Macaca mulatta: one gene and its partners. The protein of the gene in region 7 interacts with the protein of the main gene of each other region in a pairwise test. Links are inferred from orthologs where the notes say so. Each region holds a gene or a part of one and is shown on either strand. Other genes may lie near its edges. The genes, in order: EIF4A2, WDFY3, POLI, PSMD9, UBE2D4, UBXN6 and TRIM39.

Region 1 (3,799 bases), on a different chromosome or scaffold from region 7:
CCAGCTGAGAAAATTGATGGAGTATTTGCTGCCTGTCAGAGTGGCTCTTTTGACAAACTAGAAGCTGTGGTCAAGGTAAAGTCAGCTTACTAACTTTGGGGAAAGGAATATTAAATGATCATACCAAAAGTTTTTTTTTTAATAGGACTTAATAGATGAGGGTCATGCAGCAACTCAGTTCGTCAGTCAACTCCATGATGTGGTTGTAGAGAATAATTTATCTGATAAACAGAAGTCCATTATTACAGAAAAACTTGCCGTAAGTAGGTACTTTGCACATGTCAATTAAACATTTAACTACCTGAAGGATGCTAATTTCTTAAATTTTTCTTGTAGGAAGTTGACAAATGCCTAGCAGATGGTGCTGATGAACATTTGCAACTTATCAGCCTTTGTGCAACTGTGATGCAGCAATTATCTCAGAATTGTTAAAAAGTGAATATATTTTGATGTGGGGTTTTGTAAATAAGGGGGTTGTAATAAAAATGACCAAAAGCACCTTTAAAGTGAATATACAATTTATTTAACATTCAAACTTCATTAAGACATGTGCAATATGGCAATTTTACTGGGGATTAAACCCTACCTAGGATGATTGCTTGCTGGGGCTTAGCAACAGGGTCCAGTTCACACTTAGCACTAATTAAATACTTTATTGAATAAATACAATACCAAACAAAATGCATTCAAATGCTTTCTAAAAAAATTTTAAAGGCCTTTCTACTCAGGCTAATGACAAACACAATAAAGGCAGATATGCTAGTTTAACATAATTGGCTGATTTTATACAGCACTTATATCTTTTAGTCCACAAGTATATTATTAAATGATAGAGAACATCTAATACAACCATTTCTACAGAACTAGGAAATAAATTTCTAAGAAAGAAAGGTTTTACAGACCCCATCTTTTATACCCACCCCAACAGTCTAACTCTAAAGAGGATAAAGCCAATGACTTTCCTCACAAGAGCTCACGACTAATGTCGCTTTGCTATCAAAATCTGTATTTCTGATCCGTTATGAGCATTGAGACAAGATTCAAATATTCCCAAAGAAAGAAGCACAATGCACGTTGTGATCGCCTATTCAGCAACAGCGAGCACTGCATCCAAAACTCTCATCCCAGGAATTAAATAAGGTCAGCCACATTCATGGGCATCTCCTCCACTGTAGTATTGTAGAAAGTCTCAATGTCACGAAGAATCCTCTTGTCTTCTTCAGTAACAAAGTTTATAGCCACACCTTTCCTCCCAAATCGACCCCCTCTGCCAATTCTGTGTAAGAAAAAAACAATCAGAATGTTACTTCTCACATAATTTATGAACTACTGAACATGACGATCCACTTGTTAACCATCAGCTGCTGTTTACTTATCAAGGTTATAGTTCGTGCTTCTAACTGGAGCACTAGCTGCTAATGCATATCTAGAGAAAAAAATCTTCCTTTGCAGTTAGTGCCAAAAGGATTCAAGGCTTGTCTGGCTGCAAAATGAGATTTTTATCAGGCATCTTGAGCATTATTATAAAGCAGATGACAGTATTGTGTTTGGGGTAGTGAAATTAAAGCCCATACCAAAGTGGGCCAGCCAAGAGCAGGTGTCAGCCTGGGACAGATGTAAACACCAGGAATAAAAGAGCAGTTATGTAATCCATTTCGACGCACTTCTGGAACTGTAAACTGTAAACAAATGCTGCAAAGGTTAACTATTTTCTAAAACTTACTTTTTTCCAGTGGGAAAACAAATATTTGGTATGGTAACCCAAACTTATCACTGCTTTTTTGCTCAGTTTCACACGTTGTAACTCAAATTACTCAAAACGTGTTTAACCGCCAAACAGCTACCTTCATGTTAGAAACCAGACAATACAAACCACCTAGTAAGAAAAGTTCCCTAACAGAAATACTGATACAAAAGATGCCTCAGCTGGAGCAACTTAAAATAAATAATCATGACAAAAGAAAAACAAATATAAATACCGACTCGCTCTTTATTCAAACAGTGTGCTGTTTCGCTTATGATTCCACGTCCTAAATTACGTCAACGCCGTTTCTGAGTGCCATCTCGTCATCAACTGCTGCTATCGACTCCTGTATTTTTTAAAAAGTCTTTTTTTACATCACATAACAAAGTACGATTCAATTTATTTAGGGATAAAGCCACTATAACTAAACCAGGGTTCACTCAAATTGCTACCAGGCGACACCAAGAAAATCCCAACTATGGAAAAAATCAAGAAAAAGCACATGGACACAAGAACATCACTAAAAGCTCAAGCATAAGCTAAGACCAACAATTGCGGGGGAAAAAAAAACCTATGCCCACAATCTGAGCAATGTTTACAAGTTTTCCCACTTTGTTCTCGTCAGCCTTCCCCTAGTACAAATTACATCATCTTACTGAACACTACTGACTTGACTGAATCTATTCCTTGATTTGATGTTACCTTTCATACAAATCACAGTAGAAAAATGTATGAATTTTTTTTCAATACATCCAAGATGCTGGCTTCTCACCTGTGAATATAGTTTTCACGATTGGTAGGTAGATCATAATTTATAACCAAAGACACTTGTTGCACATCAATCCCGCGAGCCTGAAACACAATGGCATATGTTAAAAATTCTAATTCAAAAAACATGGTACCTGTCATGTAGGCCACAAAATAGTAGCGAACTATACTAAGTGGTATAGCCCACTGTGGAGTGTGGTCCTTTTACTCTTCCAAATAGCCCAAGCTGGCAAAGGTTACTTAAAAACCTTCCCCCCAAAAAGCTAACTTTTGGTAGATTTTTAAAAAGCATTAAGAGACTTACCAACAAGTCAGTAGTGATCAGAACACGACTTGACCCTGACCGGAATTCCCTCATGATAACATCTCTCTCCTTCTGGTCCATGTCACCATGCTGCAAATTAATAAACCTTAATTCAAGAATCACCAGTCAGGTCAGTAATTTTAATCAACATGTATGAGACCAAGCGTCCCTGGCTGCTACAGGGATATAGCAGACAGGTATAGTTAAGAAACAACTTTATTTTGAGCAGGGGGAACGACAACACAGCACTTAGCAGCTATATTGTAGTCTGAATCCTGCTTTAGTGGAAATCCAGACATTTTAGAACACCTCTTACCAGAGCAGAAACTGTGAAGTCTCTGGCATGCATTTTCTCAGTCAGCCAGTCCACCTTGCGCCTTGTATTGAGAAAAATAACAGCTTGCGTAATGGTCAGTGTCTCGTACAAGTCACAAAGTGTATCCAACTTCCATTCCTATAATGTTTAGAAGAGAAAGTTAACAGTCATTTAGCTTTTCCAACTTTCTTCAGTTAAAAATACATTCTGGGCCAGGCACAGTGCTTATGCCCATAATCCCAGCACTTCGGGATCCCAACACTTGAGCCCAGGAGTTCCAACCAGTTTCCAGATAGTGAAACCCTGTCTCTACCCAAAATACCAAAATTGGCCCCTCTTAGCCAGTCTCAAAACGTAGAAATTATAAAAATTAACTTCATTCTATCAGGTCTAATGAGATATTGCACCAAATCTTAAGACAAAGGACATTGGACATTAAGAAAGAGGTCCATCCCAGTCTTTACAATCTAGTGCTGTTACTTTTCTTCTTGTGTGTACTCTGCTAGCATTATTGCAAAAACCAAGACATAGTCCTAGTGTCTGCAATTTTAGCACAGTGCTTATACAAGAAGGTAAAATAATGTCTAACAATCAGTTACCTCTCTCTCAACATTAATATAAAACTGTTTGATTCCTTCAAGGGTCAATTCTTCCTTTTTCACCAGAA
Region 2 (3,500 bases), on a different chromosome or scaffold from region 7:
GCCTGCCTCGGCTTCCCAAAATGCTGGGATTACAGGTGTGGGCCACCGTGCCTGGCAAAAGTCTCATTATGTTTTAAGAAAGTGTATGAATTTGTGTTGGGTCACATTCAAAGCCATCCTGGGCTATATGTGACCCTTGGGCCTCGGATTGGAGAAGCTTGATCTAGCTCATTGTGCTCTGTAAATATTAGCTCTTCTTTTTTGATTTGATGGTAGAATTCAGTGGGATAATAGATATTATAACTTTTTGAAAATTTGTTTTTAACACTGCCAGATGCATATTCCAAAAGATACAAGTGGACATTTAATGGCATTTCAAATTTACAAAATATGTGAACTACTAAAACTAAAATAAAAATTATTTCAGAAAATTACACCATAGCAGATTAATCTTGACCTTGATTTGTGCATGAACTATGCAGCATGAATTCTATATTCTGTAACTGTCTCTCCTTCCTGACTGCTTTTTCCTTTTAGGTGAAAGTATCTCCAACATTTCTCAACTGTCTTGTATTTTCCAATATGTAACCCACTTGTTAAATACATAAGTTCCATCTGGTACATACTTATTTATGACAGTGTCTGTTTCGATTTCACAGGCTGGTGAATTCCTTTGCCTAGGTAAAATGCTGATGATACTACGGTTGTAGGTGTGAACTCTTAATAGGGTACTTTGTTTTTATCTGATATAGAAGTTAAAATACACTTTTGTAAACAAATGACATTATTACAAGGAAGGAAAGGAGCACAGATAAAAATATTATGGTTATTGTAAAAATAATTCAAAAGTATATGCCTCAGTTAAATCTAAACAGTGAGTTGGTCATATATTTGGGAAAGCATATTTATATTTTAGTATTCTTGAATGGATTCAATTTAAGCATTGACTCAATAAGAAATACTTTATCAAACTGCTAATGCCTTAAATTCTTAATAGATTGTTAAGGAAAAAAGATTAACAATTAAAAGATCATATTGTTGCTTTGCTCTTATAAAAGTAAGTGCTAGTAACAGGCTGCAAAAATATGGGTAGATTACCTTTTTTACAGTGCTCCAGAATTAGAAATTATAGTGCTTTAAGGCACAGCTGCATCAAGTATGGCATTCTTGACAGAATTGAATAGCTTTGAGAAAAGCAGACTTTAGGGAGCTATCTTCTAAACTTTTAATAACTATCAGCAGGAGCTAAGACCTACATATATTACTATTTTAGAAATTTTACTGTTAATTGACAAATTATAATTGTTTATGGTATACAAAGTGATGTTATATGTATATGGTTTGAATGATTAAATCAAGCTAATTAACATATTCAGCACCTCAAATACTTAACAATTTTTGCGCCAAGAACATTTGAAATGTACTCTCTTAGCAATTTTGAAATGTACAATACATTATTATCAATTATAGTCACTAGGAATGTAATAGATCTCAAAAAAATGTATTCCTCCCGTTTATCTGAAACTGTAACCTTTGACCAACATCTCCCTATTCCCCTCATTTCTCAGCCTCTGGAAACCTTCATTCTATTCTTTGCTTCTGAGTTTGATTGTTTTAGATGCCCCATATAAGTGAGATGGATCATGTAGTATTTGTCCTTCTGCACCTTGCTTATTTCATGTAACATAATGTTCTCCAGGTTCATATACACTGTTACAAATGACAGGCTTTCCTTATTTTTTTAAGGCTGAATACTATTCCATTATGTAAACATAGCATATTTTATTTATGTTACTCTGCTGATGGACACTTAGGTTGATGCTAAGATCTACATTAGCATCAGGACTGAGGTTAAACCAATCAGTACAAGATAAATGGAGCTAGGGTGGTCGTCAGAGAAAACCAAGAGGCATTGGAACAATTCAAGCTGCCTCACCTTATATGATCAGAGCTACTTAGAAGATTCATGTGTTCTAATATATAGTGCTTATTCTGGACCAGACACTATTTTAAACACTTAACTAATTTTAATGAACTTAATCCTCCCAATAGTCCTATGAGGTGGAACCATTATTTGCTCAAATTCAGGCATAACAAAACGAAAACCCGGAGAGGTTTAATGACCCGTAACCCATAGCAAAGTGGTGGAGTCAGGTCTTAAATTTGGGCAGTCTGGGTCTGGAGTCTCTGATATAAACCTCTTTATCATGATGTCTCCTTCTTGCACTGTTGCATCTTTTCACTCCACCTCCACTCTGAAGTTATCAATTCAATGGAGTTTGTTGAATTTTTTAAATGAGCTATTTGAGGTAACTGACTTAATAGAGAAAAAATGCTTACAAAGGAAAATAAAAACTTGAAAGAGCCAGTGTGATCATTGAATTCTGCATACTCACCGCCACATTTGTCTCTTGTTCAGTTTCTGGCACGTAAGGGTAATGGTTATAAAACATATCGTTTCGCACCATCTTTTTCCTCATCCTGCAGGGCCCTTCTGTCATCTCCAGCATCCACTTGTCCAGGTGGGAGCCGATGGGAGGGCCCCACAGCCCCCGCTCCCGCAACAGCTCGCACTCGATCTGGCACCACTCTTCCGTCACGTACTTCAGGGCATTCTGCTGACGCTGACAGGAAAGAGTCCAGGTCGGTTTTCAAGCAAAAGCAGGAGTAACAGTAACAAGTCTACAAGTCACTGAAAATCAAGTTATTACTTGGAAACAAACACAATCCACACCATTTCAGTTAATCCTATAAAAGTAAAATTACATTCGTTTATGGTTAAAGTAAGCGGGTTTGTTGTAGAAGGTGGACTTCTTAAAGCATCAAGTAAATGACAGACATGTATAGGGTAGAGCGTGCAATACAGTGGAACAGAGAGTTCAAAGAAGTCTGTTTATCTGGCACAGGAAAGACAGTAATATTATGATGAAAATATATTGAAATGGTTAGCCCTATGTGCGCTAATAAATACATATGGTAATTTAAAGATACACCAAACTGGAAAATAGCTACCACAACATGTATGGGGGATAGTCTAGGAAATCAGATGAAGAAAAAGTGCCAACAGGCTTGATTACTGGTGAACTAGGTAAACATTTCCAAAGATTTTAGATGAAGAATATAAACATGCAGCACTAAGAGGAAACTTGACATTCATACAAAAATCAAAGAGAAACCATTTTCTCCTGGCCACTGGGATAGATTCAAACCATTTTACTTAAAAGGAAATTATGTCACAGTACAAGTTCTTCTTGTCTATCAAATGACAAATATGTAACATTTCAACAGTACACAATGATAAATAACTTGCCCAACGATTCATGGAATGTAAGTATACACAATTTAAATCTAAAAATAAAGATTTCTAAAACATAACTGTCAGTAAAGATTACTGAGTAAATAATTAAAAATTTACCTATCACAGTAGTACTTATATGTTCTTTGGTTGGGGAAACTAAGGATCTAGTGTGATATCCATAAAATATTAGCAGTTAACCATTCAGAAACCTTTAATAGATCCAGAATAGCTAATCTGAGAATAAAACATTTAAGATAAGCTT
Region 3 (3,500 bases), on a different chromosome or scaffold from region 7:
TAGGAAAGAGATCACATACTAAGCAAACTAGAATAGTAAGAACATGGTACTGTAACTAGAAATCTTTATCTCAAATAATGTGATAACCAGTACTTAATTAAAATAAATATCATCGTGTACCTGCGGTGGTCCTGAGGGTATCACATGGGAGTTATCCTCTCCAAAACTGAGCTTCTGGATACGCTGAGCAAGTGAAATTCCTAATTCTTTTTCTAAAATTTTGGATGAAAAGGTTTGGAGATCATGCACACTATTGATACCCAGTGCTTCAAGACATTTGGCAGTTTTATAGCCAATACCTAAATAAAAAGAAGTGCATACAAAGTTAAAAATAGCTTTTCTCCTTAAAACAAAGCTAATTAAAATATTATAAATATATCAATCATATCTTTAAATTCTATAATTTACACAGTAGTCCCCCCTTATCCACAGGGGATACATTCTAAGACCTTCAGTGGATACCTGAAACCATGGACAGTATCAAACCCTATATACATACAGTACTGTTTTTTCCATTACATATATACCTATGATAAAGTTTAATTTATAAATTAGGCACAATAAGAGGTTAACAATAATAAAATAGAACTACAACAATATACTATATACAAGTTATGTGAATGTGGTCTCTGCCTCCCTCTCTCAAAATATCTTAGTATTTTCAAACCACAGTTGACTGCAGGTAACAGAAATTGTGAAAAGTGAAACTGCAGATAACGGGGGACTACTGTATTTTGCAAAGATCAAACTCCATTGCAAACTAGGTTGCTGTTCTTCCACTCAGGGCTCCTGAATTATATGCATCTCTTTGAAGTCCTCACAAAATGCAGCAAAACAAAATGAATACAGAGACAGTCAATAAATGCTGTCTTACTAAAATAAAAATTTTACTACCTGTTATGTAAAATTCCAGAAATATTCAGAAATCATGATTATTAATGTACAAAAAGGCTGCCACTAGAGCAATTAAAATGAATTAAGTGTACATATTAGGTAAACTAACTGGTTCCTATATGCACCACCATATATTTATCCATAAGTCATATCTAACATTTACCATCCAGAATACAGCTATGAGCCAGAAAGCAAACAAAACAAAAAATCTTGCTAGCAAAACTGTCACAAAGTTCTTGCACTAAAATTCAGTCATACTTTATCCACAAGAGAAAACACTCAGGCCATTTAGTGTCTCCTTATTCTTTTCATTTAAAAATAATAATTCCACAGTTATCTGATTTTCTTGCACAAGAAAAGCCTAAGTTGGAGGAAATGGCTGTGTAGGGGGAATTATGAGAGTGACAGATTTTTCACGCAAAAATAAAAGGCGGCTGGCAATTTGGAAATAAGTGAGAAAGCAGAAAGCCTGTTTAAAAAAAAAAAAAAAAGTTACAAGAACTCAAAAGTAAAGCCAAGTAATAATGTTTTGCACCAGTATATAGTCCTCAATTTATTACAACCTGACATTGTTCTTCAGAAGGCAGAACCAAAGTCATCCACAAAATTTCAAATTATAGTTATACTATACTAAGGAAGGCAAGGCAGTGTATAATACATTTTGGAATCACACAAGTATCAGTTAAAAATGTGAAGTTTGACATCTAAGTTTCAGAGGTATTAGAAATTCACTTCCACAGAACTCTTTTATAACATCTTATTCCCCAGCAATACCACAGAAATGTAGTTCAACATATCCATTATCAACGGTCTATAAAAACTTGGGTATTTGATCTGCAAAGAAACAAACTTGCACCATGACCTAAATAGGTCACCAAACTCCTCATGGAAATCAGTTTCCTCATCTTTAAACTGAGGAACCTAGATGTTTTGGAAAGTCCATTGTAGCCTTAATATTTTATATATAATCCCAAAAGAGACTTAGTAAAAGACAAACTCCCCTCTCTAGAGGCAATGTACAGTATAAGAGTATGACCCAGGGACTGGAAATAAAGACCGTATGTTTCTAGGCTATAACTTTTATGACCATATTCTAACCATCCAAAGTAGATAAAATAAGAAAAGTACTTTCACATATTTCTTAATCCAAATTTGCTTCAGAAAACATTATGGTTTTTGTTAGTTTTTTCCAGGAACCAAGTATACACACACATACATGCACACACTCACATACACCTCTACCTAAGAATTAATTACACTGTACCTATAATTTTAAAATTAAAGAAATATAATAAGACATATATGTACTTTTCAAAGATATTTGTCTTACCAGGTATTTCCTTTATGTGATTCAAACTAAGAATAAGATGTTGACAACTTTCCGGTAATAAGACTGTTTGTTGATTTGGTTTAAAGACACCAGAAACTAATTTTGCCAACAGTTTATTAGAAGCCACTCCAGCACAGCCAGTGAGCCCCAAGTGATTATACATGGCTTCCCGCATCTCTGCTGCAATCTGAGATCCAATAAGTAGTCTGATGTGCAAGATGTCATGCAGGTTTATAGCTTTAAAAACAACAAATGTCATTCAAAGTCACAAGAAAAAAACTTTAAAATTTTGTTTTTTACAAAATAATTTTTAAAAGGTAGAAGGCTTAGTCTATATCCAACCACCACCACCACCACCACCACCACCACCACCACCACCTGGTATGGTTGCAATGTTTGTCCCCTCCAAACCTCATGTTGTAATTTGATCCCTAATGTTGGAGGTGGGGTCAAATGGGAGGTGTTGGGATCACAGGGGTGGATCCCTCATGAACAGATTAATGCCCTCCCTCAGGGATGAGTAAGTTTCTCACTGTATTAGCTCCAGAGACAGCTGGTTGTTAAAAGAGCCTAGCACCTCCCCCAGCCCTTGCTTCCTCTCTCACCATGTGATCTCTGTACACACTGGCTCCCCTTTGCCTTCCACCATGAGGCGAAACAGCCTGAGACCCTCACCAGATGCAGAGGCCTAATCTTGACTTTTCCAGCCACAAGAATCATGAACCAAATGAACCTTTTTTTCTTTGTAAATTACCGAGTCTCAGGTATTCTGTTAAAGCAACACTAAATGGACTAAGAGACCACTGCCACCCTGTTATCCACTTGACTAATCTCTTTCATGCTTCATAGGAATACTGTAAACAAATTCAATAAGCAAATTCCAACAGCCTGTGATAGTGACTGTATACTGGGAGTGCTTAATAATTAACACATTATGGAAACTGATCTCATAAAAACATTCCTACTGACATTAACAAAACTTTTACTCATATTTACCTGTAAGTAAGCATAAAAGTACTATTATATAACAAGAAAGCTAACATTATGCTTTAAAGATCTAAATCTTAACCATGCACTAACTATATATGCTGCTGAAAACAATCTCTGACCTGTACATAGTTTTAGAGCTCTTTTATGAAAAGTGTAAGAAAATTATATAAAAATAAATTTGCTTTAGGTGTTAAACAGTGTTGGAATTACATGAAACCATCCTAACCTCAAAGAGATTCACACTAAAAGTATTTAGAGATGAAATGTCAGGATGTCTGCCATTTGC
Region 4 (2,172 bases), on a different chromosome or scaffold from region 7:
TGCATGGTGGTGCACGCCTGTGGTCCCAGATACTTGGGTGGCCGAGGTAGTGCCCAGAGGGTCAAGGCTTCCGTGAACCTTTATCACAACACTGCACTCCAGTCTGGGTGACAAAGCAGGACCTTTTCTCCAAAAAACAAAATGGAGGGGTTCTTATTACCAAATTGAAAGGAGCTTCCTGCCCTCTGGAGAGCTTGCTTCCTCCTAAAGAGGAAGCTGACACGACACCACACTGGGCCACCTGGGGAACCTCCAGGCTTTCCCTGTTCTCCAAAGGGAGCTACTATGGCCCTAGCGGCCCAGCTGCTGAGGAAGCATGGAACTACTTAGCAATTTCCGTATCCACAGCAGCAAGGCCTCAGTGCAAAGAAATATGTTGGTCAAAGCCGGACTTCACAATTGCTAGCTTGTTTTGCTCAACTTTCTATGAAGCTCTTCTGACCCCTTCTGAGCTTTGGTTTGAGAGGGTCATAAGAAATTCAGTTGGGGTGACAACAGGGTCATATCAGCACTGTAAAACTCTTTATTAAAAATAATCATCATCATCACACCAGTACCTGCCGGAATAACTTCCGCCCACTTGCCCACAGTTCCTATTTAGGGAATTCCTATTCAGGGCCGTGGCCTAATTTGCGAAAGAGGCCAAGCATAAGTTTTTAAGAATGTCTTAATCCAGGGAGATTACACTAGTGGGCCACAGCACTGCCACCACCCAGAAGTTCAGGCTACAAGCCTCTTCCAGATCCTTATGCTTCAGGGAGAGAAGACAAGGAGGAAATCCCTAGACCCAAGTCCAGGGCAAGGGAAGATGCTTTCCTGTTACTGTTCCTCAGGGACAATCATCTTTGCAGAGGAATAATGTTGCACCTGGAAGAAAGAAGAAAAGGAATGGCGTAAGTTTGGAGGCTCCCTATAGGAAGGTCAGAGGCCGAGCCCTTCTGACCTTTTCACCAATGTTCTTTCATTCTTTTAAATCAAATGCCCAGTGCATGAATGAACCGGAGAGTCCCAGGAGAGACACTGGGGCTCCCTCTGCTTCTACAGCTGTAGTCTCGTTCCTACCACGAGGATTTATCTGCAGTTTCCAAACGAACTGGGGATTCCCATTATTCCCCAATGTCTCCCCAGCCTTCCCCTCCAGCTTCACGTTTAACAAACACTCAAATGATGCCCCAGTGAGAATGAACAGAAACAGACACTTTACCCCAGCAGTCCTTTTCCTGCCCAACGTGTTGGAACAAGTCTAAGCTGGTGTTTCTCCCCGCTGCGGATCACCGTCACATTCAGGGGCTTCTGAAAAGAAAATAAGCTCGTTTTGTGTTCAGCCTTGTTAGTACTCACAGTTACAGGCTAAAATGCTGAGATCCCATTTTTTGCCTATCAAATTGGTAAAGATTTTCATTTTCAGCATAATCCTGTGGTTGGCGAGAAGGTAGGGAACATGGCACTGCGCTCTCAGGGCAGCCAGGGTGCTGACCTTAGTACCATCTTCCTCAAAAAATACGTGTCCCCCCACCAACAATTTTTAAAAGGTATGTCCAAGGTACATAGTACACAATTACAAGATGACATACAAATGAAGTGTTCATTCCAGGGCTGTGTAGAAATCCAAAAACTGAGAACATCAGAAATGTCCATCAATAGGTATTGTTCAAATACAGTACAGAGAATGAAGGGTTTTAGTCAAAACAAAACAAAAACCCCACCAAAGTATGAACCTATTTGATAGCATTTTATTTTCTTTCTTTCTTTCCTTCTTTTTGAGACAGAGTCTCACTCTATCACCCAGGCTGGAGTGCAGTGGCGCAATCTTGGCTCACTGCAACCTCTGCTTCCCAGGTTCCAGCAATTCTCGTGCCTCAGCCTCCCAAGTAGCTGGGACTACAGGCGCCCGCCACCACACCTGGCTAATTTTTATATTTTTAGTAGAGATGGGGTTTCACTATGTTTGGCCAGGATGGTCTCAGAACTCCTGATCTCAGGTCATCCGCCCGCCTCGGCCTCCCAAAGTGCTGGGATTACAGGCGTGAGCCACCGCGCCCGGCCAATAATATTTTCTAAAAGGACACCTGTGTTGCTCTAGCATGTGAAGTTTTCTGGAAGAACATGGAAAAACTTGTTACGAGTGGTTACATCCAGAGAGGATTAGTCCTTTGGAATAAGAGGAAGATG
Region 5 (2,238 bases), on a different chromosome or scaffold from region 7:
CCTCAGTATTCTCAATGGGAAAGTATCTGGCAATAAATTTGTAGCCACAACTTGGAAGTTTCTGGAAGAAGTCAACCTCCCACAGTCACCTTTGGCTGACTGCTTGTGTTAGGTCTGTAGACTTCCTTTCAATCAGCCTGCAAAAGTCCCATCTGGCCATTTGGTCACAGTTTAGCATCACTTCCTGGGAGTGGGCCAGCTTTATAACCAACCTAGAAAGATCAGGTTGAATTTGGCTTTAGAGATCTGAAGCTCCTCAATTTTCTTCCCTCTTTGGAAGTTTTATTAGAATAATCTCTATCCTTTTCTGTCCTCTTCCTAAGTAACCTAGTCTCAAGGCTCGAAGCTTTAAAGGCAAACCTTAAAATATGTTGCATCAGAAAGCCAAGACAGAAAGCCGATCACCTAATAGGCTATTGTAATTTCAGGCTCCAAATAACTGTTAAAAGTGGGTATCTTCTGTTCTGCCTAAAAGAAAGAGGCTGAAATGTCAATTATCATTTAGAGTTATGAGTGAATTGCATTTTTATTTACATTTAAGAGTCTCTCTCCCTCCTTGTGTTCTAGTCTGTGAATGGCTCACACCTGGACTTAGTGTAGGCTCCTAGTGGGAGGAGCGGGGAATAGTGAGAATTCTCATCAAATGGAGTAACATGACCCAAATCTCTAGAGGTTTCATAATTTTGCTCTTGCTTCTAAAAACACAGTCATCTCTTATGGGGTGTTATGTGCTTTGTATCCTGAAATTTTCCACTTGCTGCTTCTTGGTGTGAAGGGAGAAATGCCAGCATGTGGCACTGCAGGAGGAGACTGGTGGAAGCTGCAGGGCTAGGCCTTCACTTCCCAGTGACACTGTTCCCAATTCCCTCCAGGATGAGCTGAGACTCCTCAGGATGTGGTTCTGCAGCAGATGAGGTGTGAAGAAAGCCTGCTCTGACCTGGGCACCCAGGATGGCACTGAGTTCTAAAAGGCAAAGGGTATGTGGTGAGGGGCCAGGCTGAGGCCCTGGTGTGGTACCATCATGGGCAGCAGCACCATTTGAGGCCAGGTAGGAGAGACGTGCAGGGCCTGGCCCCCCAAGAGACCAACAGACAAACTGAGGCGGCAGAGAGAGAGATTCCAGTGTCATCAGGAAGACTGCAGATCATAACAACAATGGCTGCTGATTTGGCATCAAAGAGGTGGCACTGTCAAAGCCATAAATGCTGAAAATGGCACCAGCATGCTGCAGCTGGAGAGAGTGGGTGACCAACATTTGTTTGAAGAACAGATGACGCTCTTTGAGTGGCTCAGCCAACAGCCCAAAGTTTTAAGGGAAGACCTCTCTGCCAGCTTCAACGTCTCACGTAAAACCTCCGAGGCACTTACATAGCATATTTTTGTGTCCACTCTCTCGCTAGTCTGTTGTACCTGGAATAAAAAAGCAGAGGGAGTGACACCCTCACTTGAAATGGTCACTTCTCTTCAACGTGGTGCAGAGAACAGGACTGATGTGGGGAATGCTGCTACTGCTGCTGCTTGTCAAACATCTGGGGCTGATGGGTAAGTGGAATAAAGGCTTTCCCTGGAGCAGGAGCACATCAGACATGGCTGTAAACCCCCAGCTGGGTGAATCCCTCATTGTGTAAACCCAAAACTGTTGATTCTCCATAACTATCTGCTGTGGAAGATTTAATAATGCAAAGACTTCTTCCCTTTCTTTCACCTGTCCTACAATATGGATGCAGGGAGGACAGAGAAGAGACATACAAAGGTCAGTTTGTACTAGTTACAGGACGTTCAGCACACAAACTCCAGAACAAGGGCTTGGGAATCTGCCTACCGGAGTGTGCATCAGCACCATCCTCAGCAGCTGTTCCACCCCTCTGTGCCCTGGCTTTTTTGATTGCTTGCCATAGTGAGAGTACCTGCCTTGTGTGCTTGTGGGGAAGACTAGAGAAGTCTGTATGCAAAGCACGTGGAGCAGGCCGGGCATCCATTGAGGACTATGCAGGTGTGTGCACTTACTCTCATCATTGTAATAAGATTTGATGCTATGAGACTATAGATTAGAGAGATTTATAGTTACAAGAGGCACTGAAAAAAATCACTTTTGGTATGTCTAAAATATCTCGTAATAAGTGTTAAAATAAACACAAGTTAAACCCCAGTCAATTAAAAATGTTGATTGTTATTGAGAAAACTCCAGTGAGGGAAATAATAAGATCTATAAAGGTCTCAAGAAAAATATAATTTGA
Region 6 (4,239 bases), on a different chromosome or scaffold from region 7:
GCCTCAAACTCCTGGGCTAAAGCAATCCTCCTACCTTGGCCTCCCGAAATGTTGGGACTGCAGGCCTGAGTCACTTGTCCAACCCATGTTATTTCAATTTCAGTCTTAGAGTGGGCTGTTTCCTTACCTGGAGGCCTCTCCTCCCTCAGTCTTTGTGTATCTCATTCCAACTCCTTTTTTGTTTTGTTTTGTTTTGTTTTTGTTTTTGTTTTTTTGAGGCACAGTCTCCCTCTGTTGCCCAGGCTGAAGTGCAGTGGTGAGATCTCCGCTCACTGCAACCACCACCTCCCGGGCTCAAGCGATTCTCCTGCCTCAGCCTCCCAAGTAGCTGGGATTACCGGCGCCGGTAGAGACAGGGTTTCACAATGTTGGCCAGGCTGGTCTCAAACTCCTGACCTCAAATGATCCGCCGGCCTCGGCCTCCCAAAGTGCTGGCATTATAGGCATGAGCCACCACGTCTGACCCCCAACTCCCTTTTTTGGAGGCTTGTTTTAACTGTCAGTTTGTGTATCTTCTTTGCGAATCGCACAGCCCAAAGTACGCCACTATTAACTGGTTTCTCTGTCTTGTTCACCAAAGTGGATCCCCAGGTCCCAATTGGATGCATCCTCTTAAACAGCTTCTACCTAGGGTAAGTGGTGGTGGTGGTGGTGGTGGTGTTGGTGGGGTGGGGCGGGGGGCTTCAGGGACCAAAACAGGGCCAGAAGGTGGGGGCCTCCAATACCCCACATTAAATTGGGACTTTATCACGTAAGCTCTGGGGAGACAGGGAAGGTTGGATTTTTGTTTGTTTTGCTTGAGACAGGGTCTCTCTCTGTTGCCCAGGCTGGAATGCGGTGGAATGCGGTGGCTTGATCACAGCTCACTGCAGTCTCGACCTCCTGGGTTCAAGTGGTCCTCCCGCCTCCGCCTGCCAAGTAGCTGAGAGGTGCGCGCCACCACCCTCGGCTATTATTTTATTTTACTTTTTTTTTTTTTTTTAAATAGAGACGAGGTTTTGCCATGTTGCCCAGACTGGTCTCCAACTTCTGGAATCAAGCAATCCTCCCGCTTGAGCCTCCGAAAGTGCTGTGATTGCAGGCGTGAGCCACCGTGCCCAGCTTAGGTTGAGCAGCGAAAGGGACAGGGCCCAGTGCTTTCTCTGCGAGGTTCAGTCGTCCTGTCACCGTCTGTCACCGTTTGGGGAGCGCCACGGAAGCTGCCAGGCAAGGCACTGACTCTAATCGAGAGGCGCACTCGTCGCCCTGGCAACGGAGTCCGGAAGAACCACAGAGATGCGGCTCCAGCGTACAGAGCGGCCGCCCTGGGCCAGCGAGGCACCGAGCGCTAGAGAGGCACTTCTAGCCTATTGTCACGTGGTCGGCCTCGGGAAGGCGGGACTTCCGGCGGCGCGGTATTTTTTTTCCGGTGGCTGGTCCCGGGCGGCCCCTCCCCGACTGGGCCCTGTGCCCCCCGCCCCCGCGGCCCCTCGCCGCCGGGCCAGCCGCCACCATGAAGAAATTCTTTCAGGAGTTCAAGGCCGACATCAAGTTCAAGAGCGCGGGACCCGGTCAGAAGCTCACAGAGTCCGTAGGGTGCGTGAGGAACGCAGGGGCGGCCGGGGAGAGGGGTCTGGGGCCTCGGGCGGCTCGGGAGATCGGAGAGGGCGAGGGGCTGGGGAGCGGCAGCCGAGAGTCAGGGGAGGGGGAGAGGCTCCGGGGGCGGGGCAAGCGGGGCCGAGGATGGGCGTCAGGGGGAGGGGAGAGAGATCTGGGGTCAGGGCAGGAGGGGGCGGGTGTGAGCCGGGGGCGGGGCAAGGGAGGCGGGGGGAGGGGAACATGCGCAGGGGGCGGGGCAAGGGGGCCGGGTGGGCGGGGAAGTCTCGGGGGCGGGGCCGCAGGAGGGTCCGAGGCAGTGGCGGGGGATTAGGGCGGCGGGGCTGCAGGAAGTTGGGGGTCAGTGGAGCGACCCTGGGGGAAAAAAGGGATGATCAGTTCTGAGACGGGTGATAAGGGAGAGGTCTGGGGACCCGGCTGGTCCTTAAGTGGCCGGGATGATTTGGGGGAATCTAGGTGACCATGGATGAGAGCTGAGCTTGGAGGAAGACGCACAACTGTGGGGTGGGGTGGTGGAGAGTTGTTCTGAGGCATCCATGGGAAGAGGGGTTCTGGACTTGGGATCTGGAGCACGTGGGAGGCTGATGGGAGACCAGGAAGAGTCTGGAAGGCCAAGGAGGCCGGGGTGGGTAGCGTCTTCAGTCACCTGGGAGGGGCTGAGGAAGGTGTGTGAGGAGACTGGAGGTGAGGGACTCTGACAGATGGACTGTGACACGGGAGGGGCCTGAGAGGAGAAGACCGGCGAGATTGACGCCTCTGAGCAGGTTGGGAGAAAGGCCTTCTCTACGAGGCTTCTCTGCCAGGTCACTGTGCCAAGTGGATTATGGAGGTGAGAGGGGAGGGGAAAGGAGATAAGTGCCGGGCAGGCTTCGGGATCGTCTAGGGAGGACTTGGAGAGAAGGGCCTGAGCAGGGCTGAGCCAGCTGGGAGGGCAGGTGGAGGGCCGGGAAAGAAGTGGCGCTGGAGAGGGTGCGAGGCTGAGGGCTGCTGGGCTGAGAAAAGGGAAGCTGGAAGAGCTGGGGCTGCTGCAGGGAGCTGGCTGGCCAGGGGGTGGTGGGGACTGTTGGAGAGTGACTGAGGAAGGAGGTCAGCCAGGCAGCCAGGGTAGGGGTCTGTAAGCAATAATGGAAGGGATTGTGAAGGGGTGGGGGCTGGGAGGGGGTAGGAGGAGAGGCAGGGAGGTGGCAGGAAGTGGGGGTCAGGGAATCACGGGTTGGTGGGGTGGTGATGGAGGTAGGGGCATAGCGAGGAATTCAGGGTTCCTAGGGGAGAGCAGGAGAGCAAAGGCTGAGTGAGAGAGGGAGGGGGGTCAGGGAGAGAAGTGGACAAATGGGGGGAGCCCTTCATTGATTCAACCAGTAGTGGGTGGGGTTAGGACTGGGCGTGACAGGAAGGATGCAGGGCATCAGGGTGATGGCTGGGTCAGCCCAGAGCCTGGCGGAGAGGGGAAGGTCAGAGGGGAGACTCGGGAAGGGAAGTGGTGCGGAGGTCCCCTCTGGAGCGAGACTGGATATCCAGGGTGTGTGGGGCGTGTGGGCACCAAGTCCTGTTTTAGGCTGCAGTGGTGGACAGGAGAAGGCCTCTGCTGTCCCAGGGCTCAACTTCTAGAGGGAGCTGATGGACAAATAAACCAACAGACCTCAGAGGAGGGCTCAGGCGGTGCCCAGGGCCTTGAAGGAGGGTGAGCAGACGCCATCAGGTGGTTTGGGAAGGCCTCTCCCAGGACACAGAGAGACTCAGCCGTGGGGAAATCAGCCCCCTCCTTCTCTCCCTGTGGCAGCTCTAGCCCTTTCCAGATCCCCTGTCCTCCTCCCTCCCCGCAGGAGAACACTGTGGGCAGAAGGCGCAGACAGTGCAGGGCCTTGCGGCGGGGAGCAGCTGGGGTATGGGAAGAACCGCGGGGAGCCCAGGGGAGCCAGGCCAGGGGAGGGCAGTGGGCCAGGCCGGGAAGGGCTCTCCGGCCGAGGGAGGCTTTAGGATTTCGTGGTGGGGGGGCGTCGTGCAGTGGAGTGATGCTGACGCTCCCTGGCTGAGGTTGCAGAAGGGTCCCTGTGGCTGCCCAGGGCGGGCAGGGTCCATGACCGGTTGGGGTGAGGTGCCCTGGGAAATGCCATTTTGTTGGAAAGACCTAGATATCGGATGGGGCTGGGATGGGTCTTCATGAGTCATCTCCTCTTCCACCCAAGATGCTGCGCTGTGGGAGGACTAGATAGGCAGGGGTGGGCACGAAGCTAAGCCTCGAGACGAGGAGGGAGGGCTGCCCGAGTATCTAAGCAGAGCCAGAGGAGTACAGGGCTTGAACTGAGAGCCTGGCCTCCAGGAAGTTTTAAGAGACTTACGACATGGAAAGTGACACAGTCCCTGGATTCACGGGAGGGGCCCGAGAGGACACAGGCGAGACAGACGCGTCCGAGCAGGTTGGCAGAAAGGGCTTCTCTGCCAGGCCACTGTGCCAAGTGGATTATGGAACCCTCCTTGGTGTAGGGCTCAACAGGGCGGAACCGCGAGTCCATGAGCTCTTGGTACTTGCACAGCCCCGGGCCTGGCATGGAGTGGCCAGGGCGAGGCTGGTTCTGCTGTCCGCTGACCCCAGGGTCCTGCCACAAGGGTGGTGTGGCATGGGGCACATTGCCCGGACTTCCT
Region 7 (3,500 bases):
AATGGCAAAGGGTGAGGGATGGCAACAAACAAGCAAAAACCTGGCTTTTGTTAACACCAGTTCCAGGCCAGATGCACACAGGCCAAAGGAAGTTGCCTATCTGGCCCTTCCCTATATACCACCCTCTCCCACTGTCTTAGAGTGAGAAGGACTCCACTACCTTTCTTCCTTTCTGGCTTGGACACCTTGGCCAGGTAACAAGGCTGACAATTTGGGGGTAGCTACTTAGTAACATTCTTTAAGGCCAGGGCTTTGGATACAAATACCCTTCTCTTTCCTCTAATACCTGACTCTCCTTTCCAAGTTCCCTTGGGAACACCGTGAGAGGATAGATGTGTCTTGCAGGATCTCTTCCACCTTGCCCCTGGAGAGGAGCAAAGTGACTGACTTATTGGTATAAAGAGGCAAGCAATAAGCCAACTCTGCTGAATGCTGAGGCAGGGACCTGGGTTCTCTGCTTTCCTTTCAACCTTTCCTTCTCCCCACATTCCTACCTCTGGTCAATCCTACCCATAATGGCAATCTTACCTTTAAAATAGAAGACCAAAGAAACCTCCCTCCCCTTTATTAATCTCTAGGAATCTGTTCCTTTAGCCCACTTCCCTGACCTTCCTTCTAGCCTTGTTGATGTCCAATCTCTGCCCTCAGAAAAACTCCTCAACATCTAGACCCATGAGAGCATCTGTCATTCATCTTTCTTGAATTTAGAGGTACACAGACCCCTGTGATCTACCTCAAGAAGCAAGACTATCCTGGGTCAAAGAACTCCCTAAAAAGATGTGCAGGGGTTTCTGTTTCCTCCTCTGGTTTGAGCAAGTCAGACCCTCACAGATTTTGTTTCTGGAAAAGCCTCTCCTTCCTTTCCAACCCGTCCTTGTGCAACAGAAAACCTGATGGACTTCAGGGTAGACAATCCTCTGGGAACCAGCTCCCCACCCTGACAGTTAGGAGGGAGTCACAGCTGTGCTGTCTCATCCAGCCCAGTCCTACCTCCTTCTCCACACAAAACCATCCTAGAAACCGAGGTGTTTCTCCATGATGATTCAGGACTGGAACCAGGTGGACACGAAGACGTTCCAGCAGGACACAGGAAGGAGGCCCGTAGCACTTGACCCTGCCTCACCCCAATTATTCCCACATCCCAACCTGTCACTCCCAATCTGTTGGGGGCCTGATGGTAAGTGGTGCAGCATTCTTCCGTCCAGCCCGGATGCCTGGGTAGAAGAGGGGCCAAAGTTTCTCAGTAAAAGTATCAGTGAAGGTGTAGATATGAGAGCGGTCTGTGACATTGTAGAAAGACAGTGTGCCGGCCTCATAGTCTAGGAATATGCCTACCCGCTTGGGTTTCACTTTGATGTGCAAAGGGGTAAAAGGTGTGGTGGTGGCCGCATATTTGTCCCCATTCCATAGCCGCACCCGCCAGTAGCCAGTCTCAGGGAGTGGAGTCAACTCGCCCTTTCGGCTCACGGAGTCCCGGCATACACCCACTGCCCAGTGGGTCTTGTCGCCCACCTCCACCTCCCAGTAGTGTCGACCTGAGGTGAAACCCTCAGTAGCCAGGACGCAAGGGTAGAAGGTGAAACGCCTTGGTGTGTCAGGGAGATCCCGGAGTCTTGTCTCCACGAACTTGACGCTCTTACGATCCTCCGACAGGACTAGGTTAGGATGAGCTGTCTCAGGGTCCAGGGTCACATCCGCTGGCGGGAGAAGCCAGAGTGGGGAGCTAGATGAGGATGGGAATAGCTAAATGCCCCTGCCTCACTCTTCCAGCCTGCCTTTACAGAGCCTGGTCCCTTAAAGGTCCCCAGAACAACACGGTTTGGTTAACTTTCTCAATCCATGGTGTCACCTAAGGGAGGGGAGAAAGCAATGGCTCACTTCTCACACTGACCCTAAAGTAAACAGATAATAATCTCTTGAGTCTGCAGTGGCTGGTAATGTAGGTTCCCGCCTGGTCCTCTCTTCATCTCCCTCTGACATTATCATTTATCTAACTACATAGAGAAGTACAAGGTGTAGTCTGAGAGGCAGAAAAAACAGAAAGTGTTAAGAAGGATGCAGAGCAAGACAGCATATGGTCTAGGGATAGGGTGACCATGTGTCACTGGCCTGGTTTATGACTATTTATCCCTGCATATTCACATTAATATAATGACACTCCCTTTCAGTTTCTTTCTTTCCTTTTTTTTTTTTGAGATGGAGTCTCACTCTATCCTCTAGTCTGGAGTGCAGTGGTGCGATCTCAGCTCACTGCAACCTCTGCTTCCGAGGTTCAAGCAGTTCTCCTGCCTTAGCCTCCAGAGGAGTTGGGATTACAGGCGCCCACTACCACATCTGGCTAATTTTTATATTTTTAGTAGAGATGGGGTTTCACCATGTTGGCCAGGCTGATCTCAAACTCCTGACCTCAAGTGATCCACCAGTCTTGGCCTCCCAAAGTGCTGGGATTACAGATGTGAGCCACCGCGCCCGGCCATTCAAGGTTATGCAAGTTTACGTGGTAAATTATATAATCACTCTACCCAATCTTTGGCAAATTATTTAACCTTTCTGGGCCTTGAAAAAGTATGCACCTAAGAGTAGGTAACACTTAAGGCTTCCTCTCACTCCAAGTTCTGTGACTCAGGGTGAGACTAAAAGCCAGATAAAGGGGTAGGTGTGGGTGGGAGTAAGAAAAGTGAGAGATGGGATAACTGAAACCCATATAAGGCAGGACCTAAAAGCTTTCTTCTCTCTAGTGGTTCCTTCTAGTTTCCTTTTGGGAACAACTCACCAATTAGCTGTTTAAGGATTTTCCTTAGGGCAAAGTACTGTCGGGGGAAATTGCTGAAGTTCTTTTCCAGCTCTATGGATACTGAAGTCACCTCCATGGTCTTCACCTTCTCACATCTAGGAGGGATAGGGAGATAGGGGAAGAAAGGGCAGAGTTAGGGAGAAGCTCCAGCCAAGTGACTATTCAGATGTTAACATCTTTAGGGAGAAATGAAAATTCTCCATCTTTCCACTTTCTTCCTCCTCCCTGAAGAGCTCACCTGTTGCTTTCTTTTACTAATCCAAGGAGAGCCTTATGATCCCGTGGACAGATCCTCATTTTGAGAGTGAGCCTCTGAACTTTCTAGGAATATTCCTATATTTCATGCAAATGGATGATTGCCCTCCCTGTTCTCCCAACCCCTTCCTCCTTCCATCTTGTTCGGACATAATTCCATCCACTGGCACAAGTAGAATCTGGTTCTGCCTTATCATTCTCCTTCTCAAGAAGTCCTGATGTTCAAAGGGGAAAAGGGATTATTCTTCCCAATAATTTGTTCTCTACCTGGCATCATGGGCACAATGAACATTCTCCCATACCCTGCTCAGACACTACATGACTTTCCCAACCTTACCCCCAACCCAAACTCCTGACTGTACCCCTCCTCTCTAAGCCAAGACCTAACTCACTGAAAGAGATACAACAATCACTTACTTTTCCAGGGTACTTTTGACATCCTAGAAGGAAG

The links.
Region 1: the proteins of TRIM39 (region 7) and EIF4A2 interact in binary tests that used the Homo sapiens proteins (3 or more experiments, as listed by UniProt). The two-hybrid records come from large-scale screens. The link is inferred for Macaca mulatta from reciprocal best matches to the Homo sapiens genes TRIM39 and EIF4A2.
Region 2: the proteins of TRIM39 (region 7) and WDFY3 interact in binary tests that used the Homo sapiens proteins (3 or more experiments, as listed by UniProt). The two-hybrid records come from large-scale screens. The link is inferred for Macaca mulatta from reciprocal best matches to the Homo sapiens genes TRIM39 and WDFY3.
Region 3: the proteins of TRIM39 (region 7) and POLI interact in binary tests that used the Homo sapiens proteins (3 or more experiments, as listed by UniProt). The two-hybrid records come from large-scale screens. The link is inferred for Macaca mulatta from reciprocal best matches to the Homo sapiens genes TRIM39 and POLI.
Region 4: the proteins of TRIM39 (region 7) and PSMD9 interact in binary tests that used the Homo sapiens proteins (3 or more experiments, as listed by UniProt). The two-hybrid records come from large-scale screens. The link is inferred for Macaca mulatta from reciprocal best matches to the Homo sapiens genes TRIM39 and PSMD9.
Region 5: the proteins of TRIM39 (region 7) and UBE2D4 interact in binary tests that used the Homo sapiens proteins (3 or more experiments, as listed by UniProt). The link is inferred for Macaca mulatta from reciprocal best matches to the Homo sapiens genes TRIM39 and UBE2D4.
Region 6: the proteins of TRIM39 (region 7) and UBXN6 interact in binary tests that used the Homo sapiens proteins (3 or more experiments, as listed by UniProt). The link is inferred for Macaca mulatta from reciprocal best matches to the Homo sapiens genes TRIM39 and UBXN6.

What each region holds. Positions count from the first base shown.
Region 1 is NC_133407.1:11,824,738-11,828,536, forward strand, and holds the end of EIF4A2 (eukaryotic initiation factor 4A-II), read right to left. Parts: coding exon 3,732-3,799; intron 3,707-3,731; exon of another isoform or gene 3,529-3,706; intron 3,271-3,528; coding exon 3,133-3,270; intron 3,098-3,132; exon of another isoform or gene 2,966-3,097; intron 2,907-2,965; coding exon 2,817-2,906; intron 2,790-2,816; exon of another isoform or gene 2,651-2,789; intron 2,597-2,650; coding exon 2,517-2,596; intron 2,091-2,516; exon of another isoform or gene 1,980-2,090; intron 1,277-1,979; coding exon 1,132-1,276; 3' UTR 501-1,131; downstream 1-500. Other genes in the region: RFC4 (replication factor C subunit 4), read left to right, coding at 1-75, 146-259, 337-432. UniProt on the Homo sapiens protein: ATP-dependent RNA helicase which is a subunit of the eIF4F complex involved in cap recognition and is required for mRNA binding to ribosome.
Region 2 is NC_133410.1:48,985,240-48,988,739, reverse strand, and holds part of WDFY3 (WD repeat and FYVE domain-containing protein 3), read right to left. Parts: intron 2,565-3,500; coding exon 2,337-2,564; intron 1-2,336. UniProt on the Homo sapiens protein: Required for selective macroautophagy (aggrephagy). Acts as an adapter protein by linking specific proteins destined for degradation to the core autophagic machinery members, such as the ATG5-ATG12-ATG16L E3-like ligase, SQSTM1 and LC3.
Region 3 is NC_133423.1:37,857,186-37,860,685, forward strand, and holds part of POLI (DNA polymerase iota), read right to left. Parts: intron 2,462-3,500; coding exon 2,225-2,461; intron 300-2,224; coding exon 121-299; intron 1-120. UniProt on the Homo sapiens protein: Error-prone DNA polymerase specifically involved in DNA repair. Plays an important role in translesion synthesis, where the normal high-fidelity DNA polymerases cannot proceed and DNA synthesis stalls. Favors Hoogsteen base-pairing in the active site.
Region 4 is NC_133416.1:129,287,286-129,289,457, reverse strand, and holds the end of PSMD9 (26S proteasome non-ATPase regulatory subunit 9), read right to left. Parts: intron 1,811-2,172; exon of another isoform or gene 1,294-1,810; coding exon 1,205-1,293; exon of another isoform or gene 1,148-1,204; intron 907-1,147; exon of another isoform or gene 868-906; coding exon 840-867; 3' UTR 501-839; downstream 1-500. UniProt on the Homo sapiens protein: Acts as a chaperone during the assembly of the 26S proteasome, specifically of the base subcomplex of the PA700/19S regulatory complex (RC).
Region 5 is NC_133408.1:84,408,847-84,411,084, forward strand, and holds the end of UBE2D4 (ubiquitin-conjugating enzyme E2 D4), read right to left. Parts: intron 1,412-2,238; coding exon 1,370-1,411; coding exon of another isoform or gene 1,366-1,369; exon of another isoform or gene 1,205-1,365; intron 965-1,204; coding exon 889-964; 3' UTR 501-888; downstream 1-500. UniProt on the Homo sapiens protein: Accepts ubiquitin from the E1 complex and catalyzes its covalent attachment to other proteins. In vitro able to promote polyubiquitination using all 7 ubiquitin Lys residues, but may prefer 'Lys-11' and 'Lys-48'-linked polyubiquitination.
Region 6 is NC_133424.1:5,289,015-5,293,253, reverse strand, and holds the start of UBXN6 (UBX domain-containing protein 6), read left to right. Parts: upstream 1-1,439; 5' UTR 1,440-1,492; coding exon 1,493-1,575; intron 1,576-1,837; exon of another isoform or gene 1,838-2,425; intron 2,426-4,239. UniProt on the Homo sapiens protein: May negatively regulate the ATPase activity of VCP, an ATP-driven segregase that associates with different cofactors to control a wide variety of cellular processes.
Region 7 is NC_133409.1:152,687,402-152,690,901, forward strand, and holds part of TRIM39 (E3 ubiquitin-protein ligase TRIM39), read right to left. Parts: intron 3,490-3,500; coding exon 3,467-3,489; intron 2,890-3,466; coding exon 2,770-2,889; intron 1,724-2,769; coding exon 1,150-1,723; 3' UTR 1-1,149.